Schizosaccharomyces pombe: one gene and its partners. The protein of the gene in region 3 interacts with the protein of the main gene of each other region in a biochemical or structural test. Each region holds a gene or a part of one and is shown on either strand. Other genes may lie near its edges.

Evidence for each region.
Region 1: the proteins of pcn1 (region 3) and pxd1 interact in a test that uses a peptide from one of them, tested with the Schizosaccharomyces pombe proteins (one study listed by BioGRID).
Region 2: the proteins of pcn1 (region 3) and cdc27 form a complex in vitro, tested with the Schizosaccharomyces pombe proteins (2 studies listed by BioGRID, with this or other methods).

Annotation. Positions count from the first base shown.
Region 1 is NC_003421.2:1,283,186-1,288,882, reverse strand, and holds pxd1 (protein Pdx1), read right to left. Parts: upstream 2,718-5,697; 5' UTR 2,534-2,717; coding exon 1,478-2,533; 3' UTR 1,352-1,477; downstream 1-1,351. Other genes in the region: trp1322 (TRP-like ion channel protein), read right to left, coding at 1-746; rpm1 (3' ssRNA-specific 3'-to-5' exonuclease), read right to left, coding at 2,848-5,697.
Region 2 is NC_003423.3:1,060,478-1,066,410, reverse strand, and holds cdc27 (DNA polymerase delta subunit Cdc27), read left to right. Parts: upstream 1-2,986; 5' UTR 2,987-3,033; coding exon 3,034-3,087; intron 3,088-3,136; coding exon 3,137-3,192; intron 3,193-3,248; coding exon 3,249-3,415; exon of another isoform or gene 3,416-3,469; coding exon 3,470-3,537; exon of another isoform or gene 3,538-3,593; coding exon 3,594-3,701; exon of another isoform or gene 3,702-3,775; coding exon 3,776-4,441; 3' UTR 4,442-4,693; downstream 4,694-5,933. Other genes in the region: fol1 (dihydropteroate synthase), read right to left, coding at 10-2,211; pre-rRNA processing protein Esf1, read left to right, coding at 4,841-5,933.
Region 3 is NC_003423.3:3,614,253-3,619,504, forward strand, and holds pcn1 (DNA polymerase delta processivity factor), read left to right. Parts: upstream 1-2,342; 5' UTR 2,343-2,432; coding exon 2,433-2,513; intron 2,514-2,622; exon of another isoform or gene 2,623-2,624; coding exon 2,625-3,326; 3' UTR 3,327-3,593; downstream 3,594-5,252. Other genes in the region: heat shock protein Hsp104, read right to left, coding at 1-824.

The DNA of each region.
Region 1 (5,697 bases), on a different chromosome or scaffold from region 3:
GCAAATTGCAAGTATTGCACAAAATCAAAAAATCCAAGGGATGTTAAACGAAGAGCATCAGGGTCCATATTAAAATTAAAAATCGACTTAAATGGATCTAAACTGCCGGTCCATGGATTTAAAAAAAGAGCATAAATAATGGAAAACGAGACATATGCGAGCGACACAACAACCAAATATGAAATAACTGGATAAAAATAATACAAAGTTGTGGACAAACCAAACTTCATACAAGTTATTACATTTTTCTCGGGAGTACCGTCAACAACGATTACTCGCGTTGTTAATGTAGTCAATTCGTATTTTGAGTAATCGGACAAGGTGGATTTAAAGGGAACTTTAACCATGAAAGCGGCACTTCCAGCTGCCCAAGGACATTTTATGGGGACTTCAAAAGAATGAGGATCCATAACAACATCACAAAGCTTTGTGGTATTGGATGTGACCAGTTTTCCTAACGCATAAGTTTCCGAATAAACTGAAGCAGCGTGAATATGTGAGCCATTTCCACCCACAATCGTTATAACTCCGGATAAATTCCCCACTACTTGAATGTAGTACATCCGATTCACTTCATCAAAATTCTTGATAACTGCATATGGGCTAAAGGTAGGAATACCTGCTCTCGGTACAAAGTTTGAACAAGTCTCAAAATAATCCAAACTTGGGGATCCATTCACTGCTGAAAGAAGGCTGTAAAAAACGATATGAAGAAAGAGGAAAACAGAGTACGGGCGAGGCTTCATTATTATCCAAACACAAACATTCTAATAAATTTTAATATAAATAGATCCAACCTTGAATTCTTTTGATTCTCTATGAAACGAAATTTGAAAAAGACTTTAACTGCTCAGGGTTGGTAATTTGAGCAATTACAAATGCAGTTATTTAGAAAGAAAAGAAGGTTTCAAAAAATGAATGCTTTGTAAGATATAAGTAGGCCAGAGACGCGAAACACATAAATTGCTATTTCTCGTGTGTGTAGTTAATGACAAACACATGCTCTCGCGTTCCTTGTCCTAGTATTAGATAATAAAGATTAACTACGCAGCACGTTAGTGAAATTTTATGAAAAATTTCCGGCTCGTTAAATAAATAACATAATAATATACTATTTCGTTATTTTCCAAAGACAAATCTGCTCAAGAAAAGGTCCTAACATTAGCGCTTTATATGCATATATTATAAACCATACAGCGCTATTGAGATATAAAAAAAAACAAATAAGACAAGAAGAACTCAGTAACGTTCTCAAAGACGTTTAAAACTCGAGTCATAAAGTCCCTTCTGCTTTGGTCCTTCAAAATTAAGACAAGCTATCTACTCGTTATTTTTAGTTCTAACTTATCACATAAATATATACATTTAAAATTATTGAAATAATATTCTTGACTTGTTAGATATATAACGTACATTAAATCATCATTACGGGACCAGCTCGCCAAAAGTTTGCTATACTTAGTCTAACATAAATATTTCACTTTTCAAAATTTACGTTTCTTTCCTGAAGCCACGAGTGCAGAGTGTCCAAAGATACATAAACACCGTGCTTTAAAAGTATTTCGAGAAGGTCGTTTGAGGAAATACGTAGGGCATTTGAATTTTTCCATAAATAATGATACAACTTTTTTCCACCAGGGCTTCGAAAGAACGTTGAAATATTAGAAGAACACATTACTTGAGGAACCAGGAGATTATCAGCAACTTTCTTTTCATCGTGTTCGCAATTAACTATCGGATCGGACTCAAGGGTGGTAAAAGACTCTTCTCCAGAATCAGAGGTTGGAAATACCGACATACCAAAACAAGAACCAGCTTGTTCAATATCATAGCGATTATCATCATCGATACGGGTGCATACTCCTCTCAACATGTTTAACTCCCCACTTATCGAAGGTACTTGTTGGGACAATAAGTCACCCTCATTTCCAATTAGGTAATAGACATTAGTTCTAAATGATGATATCCATAAGTAAGGCGTAATTTGACAACCGATATTGCTGTGGTGGAACCCAGGTTCGACATTCATGAGTTCATCAGACAGAGGAAACTTTGGCTTATGCCTTTTAGCAATAGAAATAGCAATTTCTGGATGAACAACTTTGGACTTAAATTGTCTCTTACTAACACGAACTCTAGAATCTTCTGAAACAGAAGCCGTCATAAGTAACGGCTTTTTCTTGGGAATGGTATGGCCAAAGCTTAATGGGGTCAAGCTTTCTGAATGCAATTGATCAACGGAATTATTTTTTTCTTCAAAATATTTGGTAACTCTTGATGTAATACTGTTATAAGAAACCTTCGATTTAGAAGAACGAATGTGTGGTTTCTCAACTTTAGTAAAGTCATGAATATTAGCATTATCCTTTTTCAGGAAAGAATGCAGCGTTTTCTGTCGCGGTGCTGCATGGACTTTCATCTGGTATCGAAACCGCTGAACCTTCTCTGCAAAACTTTGCGCAGCATCATTTTCTTCAACATTAACGTCGTTTAAATTTAAAGAGGGTGCTGTTTCACCTTTAGATTCAATCATTTTTCTTAACTTAGATTTTAAACAACGCAGCACACTTCGTCGATGGATTTATAAGCATCCAAAGACATTTGCTTCTTGTCTTACAAAAAATAGAAAAAGAAAATATATTTTAATCACAAGAGTCAAGGTTAACAAAGAGACTTCATAGTAAAACTACCTGTTGGTTTTTGAGATGAGTTTTGGCGAAACAGGTTACTATCAAATCCCAAAACATAATTTATTTATATCGTTAAGTCTCGGTAAATTGATAAAATGCAGGATTGAGTATTTAATTAAGTAAAATTATATCCATAAAAATAGTTTTAATAAGTTTGTTAGGTCGCTAAAGCAACTAATAGGATATTAGACTCCGGAAAGACATCCTTAATTGTAAATGCCTGGCGAGTATTTGCTAACCGGAATGCTTCGTCCGGGAGAATATCAATATGCGCTTTAACACCCAATTCTTCCAACATGACCTGAGGTGTTGAAAGTTCTGAAACCATTAAATATCCATGATAAATATTTTTTTGTACCTTTGGAAGTCTCTCTATATATTTTAAGGCCCAGAAACGATTAATGTATCTTCCTATAGTTTTAATTGATTTTTCTTTTTGGTTGTACAAATTTAGTTTTCCACGAAGAATACCATCAGGTATAGTATTTTTTGGAGTCTTTAATAATACCGACTGAATCTGATGATGAGTGAAGAAGTCGGTAAACCGGCGTAAAGGAGAGGTAGACTGAATATAGCCATCCTTTAGCCCCAAAGAAAAGTGGGAAACAGGTGTGGAGGCTAAATGTGAACTTTCAAATAAAGGCATTACAGAAAGTGAATACTTAGTTTCAACGAGTCCCCAAGATGACCTGTTACTTAACAAAGTTTCAAACGCTTTTCTTCGTACACCATCCATAATTGGATAAGGCTGGCCCCTAAAAATCCCAGGTAATTTATGTTCTTGAAAAAATAATGATGAAACCCGGCCAGCCAATATCATGCACTCTGATATTACTGATTCTGCCAAGCTATACCCTTCACTAACGTTCAAACTAATTGTAGGGAAGGAAGACCAGTATACTGGATGATTCAGATCACCAAGATTATAAGGGACATTATTAGGCAGCAATTCAACTGTCGGAGTGGGTTGTGCAATAACAAACGCAAACTTTTGTAACCTAGAAAAACAGGCTTGTTTCGAAAGTTCATATATTCTTAATATATCTTTCATGTGATCATTTGATACTCCTTTTGTTTCCTCATCCACTGGTCCAGAAACGATGTCTTTCGCAATTGATCGATTACTATGCAAAGCTTTATCCAGTTGTTGGGGTGTGTATTTGATAACTGAGGAAATGAAGCTAGGCCGAACCTTGTAATCAAGTATATCGCCATTTTTTGAAATTTTAGCACTAAAAGTTAATGCTCTTTGAGCTGTAGAAGATGAATCTAAACTCCAATATTTCTGAGTGATATTGAGAGGTAGCATATACACAATTTTGTTGGGATGATAAATAGTTTGAAAGTTCCTTTCAGCAAACGTGCCTAAAGGACTGCGAATGTCAACTGTACTCGTAGGATTAGCAACATGGATATGAAGCCAGGAATTAGACATCCCTAATTCTTCAACCGAAATCGCATCATCTATCTCTTTCGTAGAAGAACTATCAAAGGCGAACGCTTTAAGATGCCTTAAATCGACGCGTTGCGATTCAAGTGAATCTTTTAATTCATTTTTTACAAACTTTTTAAAGTGATTACACTCACGTTCATACACAGCATCTAACTGAGGATTAGTACCAAGGCCAGCAATGCTGTATTCCTGTTGAAACAACCTCGGGGGCTGCCATGAAGCCCACACGCCAATATCCGTTAAGAATTTAGCAAACTGATCACTAGTTAATCCCCTCTCGTGAGTTTGAAGGCCAACTTCTTTGTAAACCTGACACAAGTGTGTATTTGGTAAACTTTGAATACTTTTTGCAATCATTTCCTGAACAAGATACCGCAATAGTTTTTTTTCAAATTCAGTCCAAGTGACCTGTGAATAAACTACGGGTTTTATTTCTTCGGTGCTTATAGGTAACTTATATTTATCTCGGGAAACTTGAATTAAATGACGAGCTTTCTTTATAAACGAAAGATATGGTGTTGATTTCTGACGCAGGCATGCAACAACGTCGTCAAAAGAATCATTTTGTGAAGAGGGAAGGAAATAGACTTTTTGAATTTCGGAAAATATGTGATCGCTTATTAAAAAATGTTTGCTTTCTGTAAGCAAAAAGTGTAACAATGAGATTTTAGCATATGGGCTAGGCTTCGAAGTTTTGTACACAAATTTCAAAAGGTCTGAAAAAGAAGCTGAATTGTCAAGTTTATTTGGAATATTGAATTCTGTCAATATTCGCAAAAATTCATTTCGGTGACTTCGACTTAAATCTTGTGCTCTTTGAGAGATTTTTTTTAATAACTTTATAGTGAAAGGTAGGACATCAGAAGGAACAGAAACATCAGAAAGAGGTTGCTGCACCTCTTTCAGCTTTTTAAAGACATTAGGACATCTCAGTAAAACTCTAGATGTACGAAATTCCTTAATAGTACCGTTTTCGTTAATGCTGGTCAATACATTACTATAGTTCCAAACATTAGTACCAGTGCATGCAGCAAGTTCAATGCCTTCGGAGCCCCTATAAAACACTAGCAAATCTCCACGATCGTACTGTCTAAAATTCTCACTGCTGAAATCTTCTAAATCAAAAGAATACTCAAAATCATTTTCCAACTTCTCTTCCTCAGATTTTGTAGTAGTAGGACAAACAGCAGCGCGTTTGTCCTTCTCGAACTTGTCTTTCAACCACTGTCTAATGTTTCCATGATTTTCTAATTCAGAGAAAAATTTTTTAAGGTTTTCCTCATTCACGGATTTCAAATTAGCATTTTTAAATCGATCAATAAGATCTGATTGAGTATGCTTCAAACGCGCACCACAATGTCCCCAAAGATGATGATCGTTTGCTGGTTGTTTCCCGAAATTTATTAGGCATCCAGTTATGCGGAAATATTTCAAAACTTTTGAACTGGAAGGGCAAGCATGATGAAATTTCCTTGTAAGTTTACAAGGAGACAATTTTAAAGACAGGCATACACGTTTTAATAAATAATTAGACTCTAAATTAACATTTTGAAG
Region 2 (5,933 bases), 2.6 Mb from region 3:
ACAAAGCAATTAAGGTACGTAACGTATAGCATTAGCCATACCAACGACTTTAGACATTTCTTTAGTGTCATGTACACGTACAATACTTACTCCTTGTAAAACACTAGCTGTAACACAAGCTGAAGTACCCCATATACGGTCTTTGGGGCTAGCGTCTCCAGTAAAGTAACCAGTAAACCCTTTACGGCTTGGACCCGAAAGCCAATGCATATCTTTAAACTGCGGTTTTTTCATCAGTTCATGAAGTCTTCCTAATAAACCGGCACTTTGTTTAGGTGTTTTTGCAAATCCAAAGCCAGGATCCAGTATAATATTGTATCGATGAACGCCGGACTGAACCGCAGCTTCCACGCGAGACGACAACTCGACAGCAACTTCTTCAACGATATCTTTTTCATATATTGAAAGTGCTTTCATAGTTTCTGGTGTCCCTCTCATATGCATAATACAAATGGGCACCTGTAAACTTGCAGCTAATGGTAACATTTTCTCATCACCCATCCCTCCAGTCACATCATTAATAATATTAGCACCTGCCTCAATGGCTAGTTTTGCAACTTTTGAATAATAAGTATCGATACTGATGGGTACTGTAATCCCTGAGCTTCGAAGTAAACTAATCATAGGTATTACTCTTCTGAGTTCTTCCTCAACAGACACGGGATCAGCTCCAGGTTTAGTAGACTGCCCACCTATATCTAGGATAGAAGCACCATCTCCAACCATACTTTTTGCTTTTTCAAGGATATTATTCTGCGAGACTTTACCACCATCAGAAAACGAGTCGGGGGTCACGTTCAAAATTCCCATTGTTAAGGCGCCATTAATGATTTTTTTGTTGTCAAAAGATGAGTACAATCTTATTCCTTGTGAAGGCAATTTATCAAGAGCTTCTTGTAAGGGCTGATGGGTATAAGGGTGTACTAAGTCTGGGCTCAAGGCCAGCAATGGACGTAAAACAAACTCACGTTCTTGCAGCCCTAAATGGGGAATAGTCAAAACTTCTGATTCATAAACACAATCTTCGTACAAGACAATATCGAGATCTATACACCTTGGTCCTTTTAAAATTGTTTTGATTCGACCCATTTCTTGTTCAATGGATTGACAAGCTCTTAAAAGATTGATAGGCGACATTCTGGTTTCAATTTTGCAAACACCGTTCAAAAAAGAAGGTTGGTCTTTATAATACATCGGCTCTGTTTCGTACAAAGGGGAAACATCCAACACACGAATACCCTCTATTTTATGCAACATAGATAATGCTGTTTGGATTTGCTCAAATTTGTCACCAATATTTGAACCAAAAGACAAATAAGCAATTTTGTTCTTAGTGGATTCGTATTTATGCAGAGACTCTTGTAAAAAGTACGACCGTGTTCGATAAATTTGCACCGCAGAAGCATTGGCGAATGTGATAGCACTAGGTTTCTCAGCTTTAATGCTTATATCGTCTAGATTCTTTGTAAAACAAAGATACTTTGAAAGATTGACAACCAAAGCTTCTATAGTCAGGAAAGCAGATTGTTCGACATATTCGGCGATTGCGCGCGCGATCTCTAAAGCTTCGACCTCCGTATTTGCAAATGATATATTTAAGCAAACTCTTTGCTTCTCTTGTCGTTCAAATGCGTGAATTCCTAATATCGTAGCTAACTCCAAATCCGAGAATTCAATACGATCTACAAAGTTACTGGTAGAATTGCGTTCGCGCTCAGCATAATAGTGCAATCCATTTTTAGACCTTAAAACACATTTGGGTAAAGTAAGCTTAATAGAAACATGCGAGGTATCAATAACGTCTTCAAAACATAAACTTGCAATTTTATTGACCAAATCTTTAGGGGTTGTAAAAAAAGACCCTTCAATTTCTTTTCGTAATAGCTTAGAAGCTATACCGTAATGAATCGTTGATTTTAACTCGTCTTTTTCTCCAGCTAACTGAACATTGTTTCTCATATATACATCAATTTGCACTGGCTGAGGTTCCTTTCTTTTCCATTGGTCTTGACCCACTACAGCAAATGTGTTAAGATTTTCAACTACGACAGTGTCATGTATCAAGTCCATTTGTCTAGTAGGATGTCGTAGAGATGAGAAGCGGAGTTGTCTGGGGATAGTGCTGACTATTCTAGGTATTTTGGCAAAACCATGGAGAGAATTATTTCTAATGAATGGATAGATTCCCCAAAGGTTTACTAAACTTTTCATGAGAGTTTAAAGAATTGATTATCTATATTGGAAGTATTTGCTGAAGCGACCAACACCATGATAAGTAAGAATAAGCAATACCTACGGTATCCTGATGTCAATTATCTAAAATGAAGGCATATGGGATAAAGAATTGTAGCATTATTTGACTGTTATTAAATTTAATTCATTATTGAATACAGCTGGGAATATGTATATACTCTGATCATTTCTATGGAGCATAGAGCGATACTGAGAAATAATATTATAAGAGATTTGTCAGATGACTACATTAATGTGCTACAAATCATTATACCCGAAAATAGAAATAAGGGAGAATCAAGTTTGATTAAATATAAAACATTCCAACAACTTTGTGAAACTCAACCTTACGCTATCAGCTTAAAAGCAGAAGGAAATTAGTAGAGAAAAAAAATCAAATTGCCATGTTCAAAATTAATAAAATTTGAAAAACATTCTACTAAAAAATGCCGTAAATTACTAAATCAATTTCTGTCAGCGTTGATGAAGTAACTTCCCATTCAATTTTAAATCTTTCATTAGCATACTTCTATGAACTGGATAGCAGCAGTAATTGAACATGCGATGTCAATATTTAGATTTTAAATATTTTACATATTGTAAATGTAGTTAAGCATGTATACTCCATTAATGAAAATGTAATCTTTCATACATATTTCGTCTGCGCTGGCTTCAGTACTTAGCCTACCTTAGGATTGTTCCCACTAATTTTCAATTTCGTTGATTTTACACACTGCTTCTTATTCTCGTAAATACCACTTTCCTAAGGAATACTTAGCGGAAAAAGAAATTTCTAAAAAAATGGAGGAATGGAGAAACTTCTTAGATATTAAAGTTATCAATGAATCTTCACTTGTAAGATATGAAATTTCAACAAGAATTTGAATGTCTAACTGTATAAAAGGTAACTGTAGATAATTTAAGTCTGCAATTGGATATATCCAGTGAAAAAGCACAAGAGTAAGGAACAATACGCATTATTTTTTATTTTTATTATTAATAATTCATACTTTCAGATATCTTAATATGTTTTATCAAGGCAACGATTTTTTGTATCCTATATACCTTATTCATGGACAACCTATAGATGATGAAATTAATTTGGAAATTGACGAGGAATCTCAACCTATATCTAATTTTCCTGTTTTGCAATACATTTTGTGTGATAAGTCTTCTCTACAAGGTTTGTTATTGTCAATTCCGATCATTCGATAGCAGATTCGCTAACTATTTGTAGAGAAACAAAGTAGATTGAAAAGTGGGTATAAAACTGTTATATTTGCTCTTTCATCTGCTCCATTAAGTGTAAGTATTCGATAAGCTGTATTTTATATTGTTACAAACTAATTGATTTAATTAAGGATTTTGACGAATTATTACCTGCAGTATATGAAATAAGAGAGAAAGATGTTTTATACAAAAAAGAAGATGCTGATAAGTATGGATTTATTTTCAATGAAAATTCCGTGGTAAGTAATTTATATCACAACAATCGTTGTTTGACATTCGATCCTTCCGTCTTCGGAAGACTAACTTATTGTAGCCTCGTGTTTTGAAAAAGGCACCTTCAACTCATTCCCCCCAATTATCTGTTCCCTCAAAGACATCGACAATCGATAAGACTGACACACGTAGTACAGAAAAGACTAAAGGGAAAGATATTTTCAGTAATGCAAGGAACCAAAAGGGAAACTCATCTCGTAAAAATAAAAAAGCTCCTCTTGAAAATCATAAAGAAAAGGAGCCTCTCTTGCCAAAGGAGGAGAAGTTGTCTGAGCAAGCAAAGAGAGAGCGCGATGATCTGAAAAATATTATGCAGCTAGAAGATGAATCAGTATCTACCACTAGCGTTCACGATTCTGAAGATGATAATTTAGATTCTAATAATTTCCAATTGGAAATTGGTACCGAAGCAAAATCTGCTGCACCTGACGAACCTCAGGAAATTATCAAATCCGTATCCGGTGGAAAGAGACGTGGGAAAAGAAAAGTTAAAAAGTACGCGACAACGAAAGATGAAGAAGGATTCTTGGTTACTAAGGAAGAAGAAGTCTGGGAATCATTTTCTGAAGATGAAAACATCTCAACTGGTACTTCAAATGTTGTTAGAAACAAACCGACTACTGTAAACATTGCAACTAAGAAGAAGAATACTGCACAAAGTAAACCACAACAAAAGTCTATTATGTCCTTTTTTGGAAAGAAATAAGTTACTATTCATTTTCGATAGTATTAAAACATGTGTTCACGAAGTCCCTTCAATTCTCATGCAAGCTATTATCAGGAGTTTTATTCATATAGAAAAACTGTTAATGTTAGTACAACCTTTAATCCTAATCTACTGTTTTTAGTTTTGTTTACACTATTCACAACCAACTATGTAAGTCTAAGAGAAGTCGAAATCAATTATCAATACATCTTTTAATTTTAAATATCATAAATAAATATGTTTCCTCAAAGCATAGAAGAATCGATTCTTTTTTTTATTAGAAGTATTAAATACTCCATACATTAATGAACCACAATGCGTTAATGTGCGTTAACTACAACACATAATTTGAAAGTTGAACTTCATATTTAGTCAAAGCCTTGTATATTGGAAGTAGTCATGGGCAAAAAGCAGACGAAGCCTATTAATGCTAAATCAAGGAGTGAAAGCAACGTAGTTGCGGATCCTAGATTTCAATCAGTTCACTCTGATCCTAGATTTTCTAGACTTAAACGTGGCAATTTTAAAGTAAAAGTTGATGAGCGGTTTAAATCTCTCAAGGAGGATAAGGACTTTAAAACTACTGCCAGTGTTGATCGATATGGCCGTCCTCTCAACCAAGATAAGGCTACTAAAGAGATTGATAGACTGTATGAACTGGAAAATGAAGGGTCGTCCAGTTCGTCTGAATCATCGGAAATTACTGACAACGAAGAAGTCGCTTCAGCGTCTTCGAAATCCACAAAATCGGAAGAATTAACCGATGAGGAGTCCGAAGATGAGGAAGTATATGATCCAGCTCGTGGTGAGGGAATTATTAGTACTTCGGAAAGTAGCGATGAAAGCGACGCTGAAAGTGAAACTGAAGCTCAACCGGAGATATCCGAATTAGCTGGAATCGAGCCAGAAGAGAATATTCCTCGTGGTTCAGAAACTAACCGTCTTGCTGTAGTAAACATGGATTGGGATAATCTTCAAGCAGTTGATCTTTTTGTTGCTCTTTCTTCTTTTTGTCCTCCTGGTGGGAAGTTACTGAAAGTGTCGATTTATCCCAGTGAATTTGGAAAATCCAGAATGGCTGCGGAACATGTTCAGGGTCCTCCACGTGATATATTTACTCCAGCTGACAATCAACCTTCTAGCGCCGAATTGCATGAGGCTCAAAAATTTGGTTTTGATAACAATGAGTCTGATCAAGATGAGGAAGATGCTTTAATAGAGGAGGATTTAGGCAACGAGTTTGATATGGTAAAATTACGCCAGTATCAATTAGAAAGGCTTCGTTACTATTACGCAGTAGTGGAATGTGATAGTGTAAGAACGGCAAAGGTTATATACGAAACTTGTGATGGCGCTGAGTATGAAACTAGCGCTAATATTTACGATTTAAGATTCATTCCAGATGATGTTACATTTGACGACGATGAATCTCGCGAAGTATGTACTAAAGCGCCCGAAAAATATGAGCCGAGAGATTTTGTCACCGATGCAT
Region 3 (5,252 bases):
GGAGTTTCACTTTCTTCAACTTCTTTTAAAACAGATTTGATACGCTCTTCAAATTCACCACGAAATTTGGAGCCGGCAACTAAGCTTCCGACGTCCAGGCTGAGAAGCTTACAATTCGAAAGATTAGCGGGGACATCATCGTCAATTATACGACGAGCAAGTCCTTCAGCAATGGAGGTCTTACCTACACCAGGCTCACCAATAAGAACTGGATTATTTTTCGTTCTTCTAGAAAGTACGCGAATTGTACGACGAATTTCATCTTCACGTCCGATAACTGGATCCAGTTGACCATTTCTAGCGAGCTCTGTAAGATCAACAGTAAATTTATTTAGTGCATCAAATCCTTCCTCGGCATTCTTTGAATCGATTCTTTTATTACCACGGACGTTATTTACAGCAAATTCAAACGCTTTCGGGGTGACACCGGCTTCTGCCAATAAACTCTTTAGCGTGTCGTCTTTAGTGAACACAGCGATAAAATGATCTTGAGCAATGTAAGAATCTTTTTGTGTTTTTTGAAGTTCATGAGCATTTCGCAGCAGTTTCGCACTTTCAGGTGACAGAGTCACTTGTTCTGGAGGTGGATCCTGAGCAGGCAAGCGAACTAACCGACTAGTAACACTTCGCTCAAACTTTTGACCATCACCACCAGCTTTGTCGACGATGGTGCGCAGTAAGGTAGTACCGTTACTGTCACTGTCGGACAAAAGAGCAGCAGCAATGTGAATAGGGGTTAATTGTGAATGACCATAAGATTGTGCAATTGAGTACGCATCAGACAATGTCTTTGCGGCTTTGTCAGTAAAAGGATAATCAGCCATATCGAGTTATATTATTATAGGAATTTTTATAATTTATAGATAAATCCAAAAAAAAGGAATTGTATATTTGTCGCTCGTTATAAAACAAAAAAGAGAGAGTCGTTGAACGGTAAATATATACGGTTTTCAGTTCGATTTAATAAGAACTTAATATCGTTATTATAATAAATTCTTCGGTTATAGATTGATGGTTGAGGATGCCGCAGGTAGAGAAGCTGTGCATATATATACACGATGATGTTACTATGGGAAGGAAAGGAACATACCAGAAGATGCCAGTTACATTGTTACTCGAACCTACTCCTACACTCTAGAAAAAGAAAGGGATAAAGTAGGGTAAATCCCAAAGACATGACTAGAAGATTTAAAAAAATAAGAGAAAAATAGCTTAAAAAAAAACCGGTGTAAATTAAAAATGCAGTTACCTTAAAAGTCTTTGAATTGTCTTTAAACATGGAATACTCGAAACCCGGAAATGATCTGCGTATTACGTAGTGTATGGAACAACGTAAAGACGGATACTAACCTCAACTTATTCTCAATTGCATCTTGCTAAATACCGTTAGAATTCATCAATGACTGAATAAATAATTTTTTGATACATAGTTCTTCTATTACAGAGATTCTAGTCATATTTCCAAGCTATTTCTAAGATAGAGCTCTTACATTACTTATTCTATACGGTAGCGATTATTCGTCGTAATGACATTTAACGAACTTTAGTTACTTGACCATAGTGGTTTATAAACTAAACAAACCAACAGTGAATTCTTGTTAACGTAACTGTAATCTACGAATATTGAGAAGAAAAAAAAACGAATGAATTTGTTGTGAATACATATTTTTTCCTTAGCGAACAAGTATACTTCATTCTTATTTTCATACCTCTTTAGTCTTATTTAAACCAGCAATAAAATTCGTTTTAAGTTTTCCGTGTTAATACCAATTAAAATAACGTTTTTTTCAATCATTTTATATGTCATTGCAACGTGAAAATAAGTTAATAAATTTCGGTAGCAGCTAATATGGAAAATGTACAATTTACTTGATACATTAGTGTAGCCTAAATTTTATTTGATCCTGGAAAGTATATTAAGGTAGAACGCGAAAGCTCTCCTAGTTTACGCCGTAAATTGTAATGACTCGCTGATTACATTTGGCTTATTATAATCCGTATAGCTAGAAAATTTCGATAACTGAATATTGCTTCTTTAAAAAGACATAAATAGAACCGTGAATTAGTACAGCAAACGAAAGATAAAAATTTCATAGTAACATGCAAATACTATTTTTTCAGTTAGTTTTCCATAATTTTGTATAATATTTCATATCAAACGCATCTAAAAAGTACGGACGAAATTACTTGCTATTGTAAAAATAAAAAAAATAACAAAACAAATTATAATAACGTGAACTGCTATTTTGGTCTCATATATGAAAGGTTCTTGAGATTTTTTACGTTGTCAGCTAGCAATTTTACGCACACTATTCTGTGCTACGCGCTCTTTGACTACTTCCCAAAAGCCAACTACAAAAGGTTTTTGCAGTAACCTTTGTTAGCTATTCTTTATATCTCTTATCTAGCTTGTATAAAATATAATTACGACTATGCTTGAAGCTAGATTTCAGCAGGCTGCTTTGTTGAAAAAGCTTCTCGATGCCATCAAGGAGTTAGTTACAGATGCTAATGTATGTAAGGGGCAGCATATAAATAAAGATGCTCAACGACAAAGCCTTTCTTTTTTTTAAAAAAAATATATTTATTAACTTCTTTTGAATGATTCTCTAACCTCATAACAGTTTGATTGCAATGACAACGGTATCTCTCTGCAGGCTATGGATAGTTCTCATGTAGCCCTTGTTTCTATGCTTATTAAATCAGATGGATTTGAACCATATCGGTGTGATAGAAATATTGCTTTAGGTATAAATCTGAACGCCTTATCAAAGGTCTTACGGTGTGCCCAAAACGAGGATTTGGTTACTTTAAAGGCTGAAGATACACCTGAGGTATTGAATTTGGTTTTCGAGAGCGAGAAAAATGACAGGATCTCTGATTATGATGTTAAATTAATGGACATTGATCAAGAACACTTGGGTATACCAGATATCGAATACGATGCTACTATTACTATGCCTGCTGCCGAATTTCAACGCATTACTCGAGATTTATTAACTTTGAGTGATTCAGTAACAATCAATGCTAGTAAAGAGGGTGTTCGTTTTAGCTGCAAGGGAGATATTGGTAATGGTAGTACCACGCTGAAACAACATACCGATCTTTCTGACCAAGATCAAAGTATCGAAATTTCTCTTACCCAAGCTGTAACACTTACGTTTTCTTTGAAATATTTAGCCCAGTTCACTAAGGCTACTCCTTTAGCTACCCGAGTCACACTTTCAATGAGCAATGATGTTCCACTTCTTGTGGAGTATAAAATGGAATCCGGATTTTTACGATTTTATCTTGCCCCAAAAATTGGTGAGGAGGATGAGGAGTAGATTACGGAATCAATATCTTTTAGTAATCTCTTTGCAATTGACGAGCTAGCATCATTATAAACATACTTTTGTTTACTTTTTAATTCAACCTTTTTTGTACTGCTCCTTCCCTAACATTCATATCCAAACAGGCAAAATACCAGCTTTTACTTAAAAAAAATCAAATTCTTTAGAACCAACAAACTGAAGGGTAGAAAAACTTGTGTTCTTAGTGATGATTTTTCACAGATAACTTCGTAATCATCTGCTGTAGCTTGTTGATTTAAGTCTAGTACATGATATAATACATTGATATGTAAATTAGCTTAATTCTGAGAATTTATTCTAACTGATAATTGTATACTTATATGGCTAACCGCGTAAGAGCCTCGGAGGGACAGTTCGCCCAAATACTACCAACGCTACCACCAGTAGCAGCAAGGCGTAAAAGTTACTTAAAGAAGATAGAATTCCTTACTCTCTATACTGCCAACTTTTCGTAATAATTTATATATTTTACTATTTGGCTATATTTGAAATTTTTAGCGTTGAATATACTATGGCAGGAGATAGTGTGAAAAGTGCAATCATTGGGATTGCTGGGGGTCCTTTTTCTGGAAAGGTATTTTATTAAAATATTTTTTTCTTAATTCTAATACTTTAATACTAGACACAACTCTGTGAGCAATTACTTGAACGTTTAAAGTCATCAGCACCTTCAACTTTTTCTAAATTGATCCATCTTACTTCATTTCTTTATCCCAATTCTGTCGACAGGTATGCACTTTCCTCTTACGATATTGAAGCGTTTAAAAAAGTTCTTTCTTTGATTTCTCAAGGAGCCGAGAAAATATGTTTGCCAGATGGTTCTTGTATAAAGCTACCTGTAGACCAGAATAGAATTATTCTAATCGAAGGTTACTATCTTCTTCTTCCCGAATTGCTGCCCTACTATACGTCTAAAATTTTTGTATATGAAGATGCAGATACTCGTTTGGAACGCTGCGTTTTACAGAGGGTCAAAGCAGAAAAAGGAGACTTAACCAAAGTTTTGAACGATGTAAGGGTTTTTCTTCTAGGTTTATTCTAATTTCTTTTAGTTTGTAACTTTGTCTAAACCTGCATACGACTCTTCGATTCATCCAGTATGTTAAACTCTTATTTGCTGTTGTATACTAATTATTGGAAGACTCGAGAGAACGCTGATATTATACTCCCTCAAAAAGAAAACATTGACACAGCCCTACTTTTTGTAAGCCAACATCTTCAAGATATCCTCGCGGAAATGAACAAAACAAGTTCATCAAATACGGTGAAATATGATACTCAGCATGAAACATATATGAAGTTGGCGCATGAAATGGTAAGCTCAATTTCCTACATATTAACAACTAAAAGTCCTAAATTTAGGCCCGTACTTCGTTATCCAACCGAGAAGTCCCGGTAGTTGCGTCTTTGTATATAAAGGAGAAGTAATAGGCCGTGGTTTTAATGAAACTAACTGCAGCCTCTCGGTAAGCCTTATTTTAATATGCCTTTGCTGACGATGATAAAGGGGATTCGACATGCTGAACTTATCGCTATAGAAAAAATTTTAGAACACTACCCAGCATCTGTTTTCAAAGAAACCACTTTATACGTGACTGTTGAACCGTGTCTAATGTGTGCTGCTGCATTAAAACAGCTTCACATAAAAGCCGTGTATTTTGGATGCGGCAACGATAGGTTTGGCGGATGTGGAAGCGTATTTTCCATTAACAAGGAGTATGTGAATTTATCAGTTCGTTTTTGCTTACGATTTATGACAGCCAATCTATTGATCCGAGCTATCCAGTTTATCCAGGGTTATTTTACTCTGAAGCTGTGATGTTAATGCGCGAATTTTACGTTCAAGAAAATGTAAAAGCACCAGTGCCACAAAGTAAAAAACAACGAGTATTGAAGCGC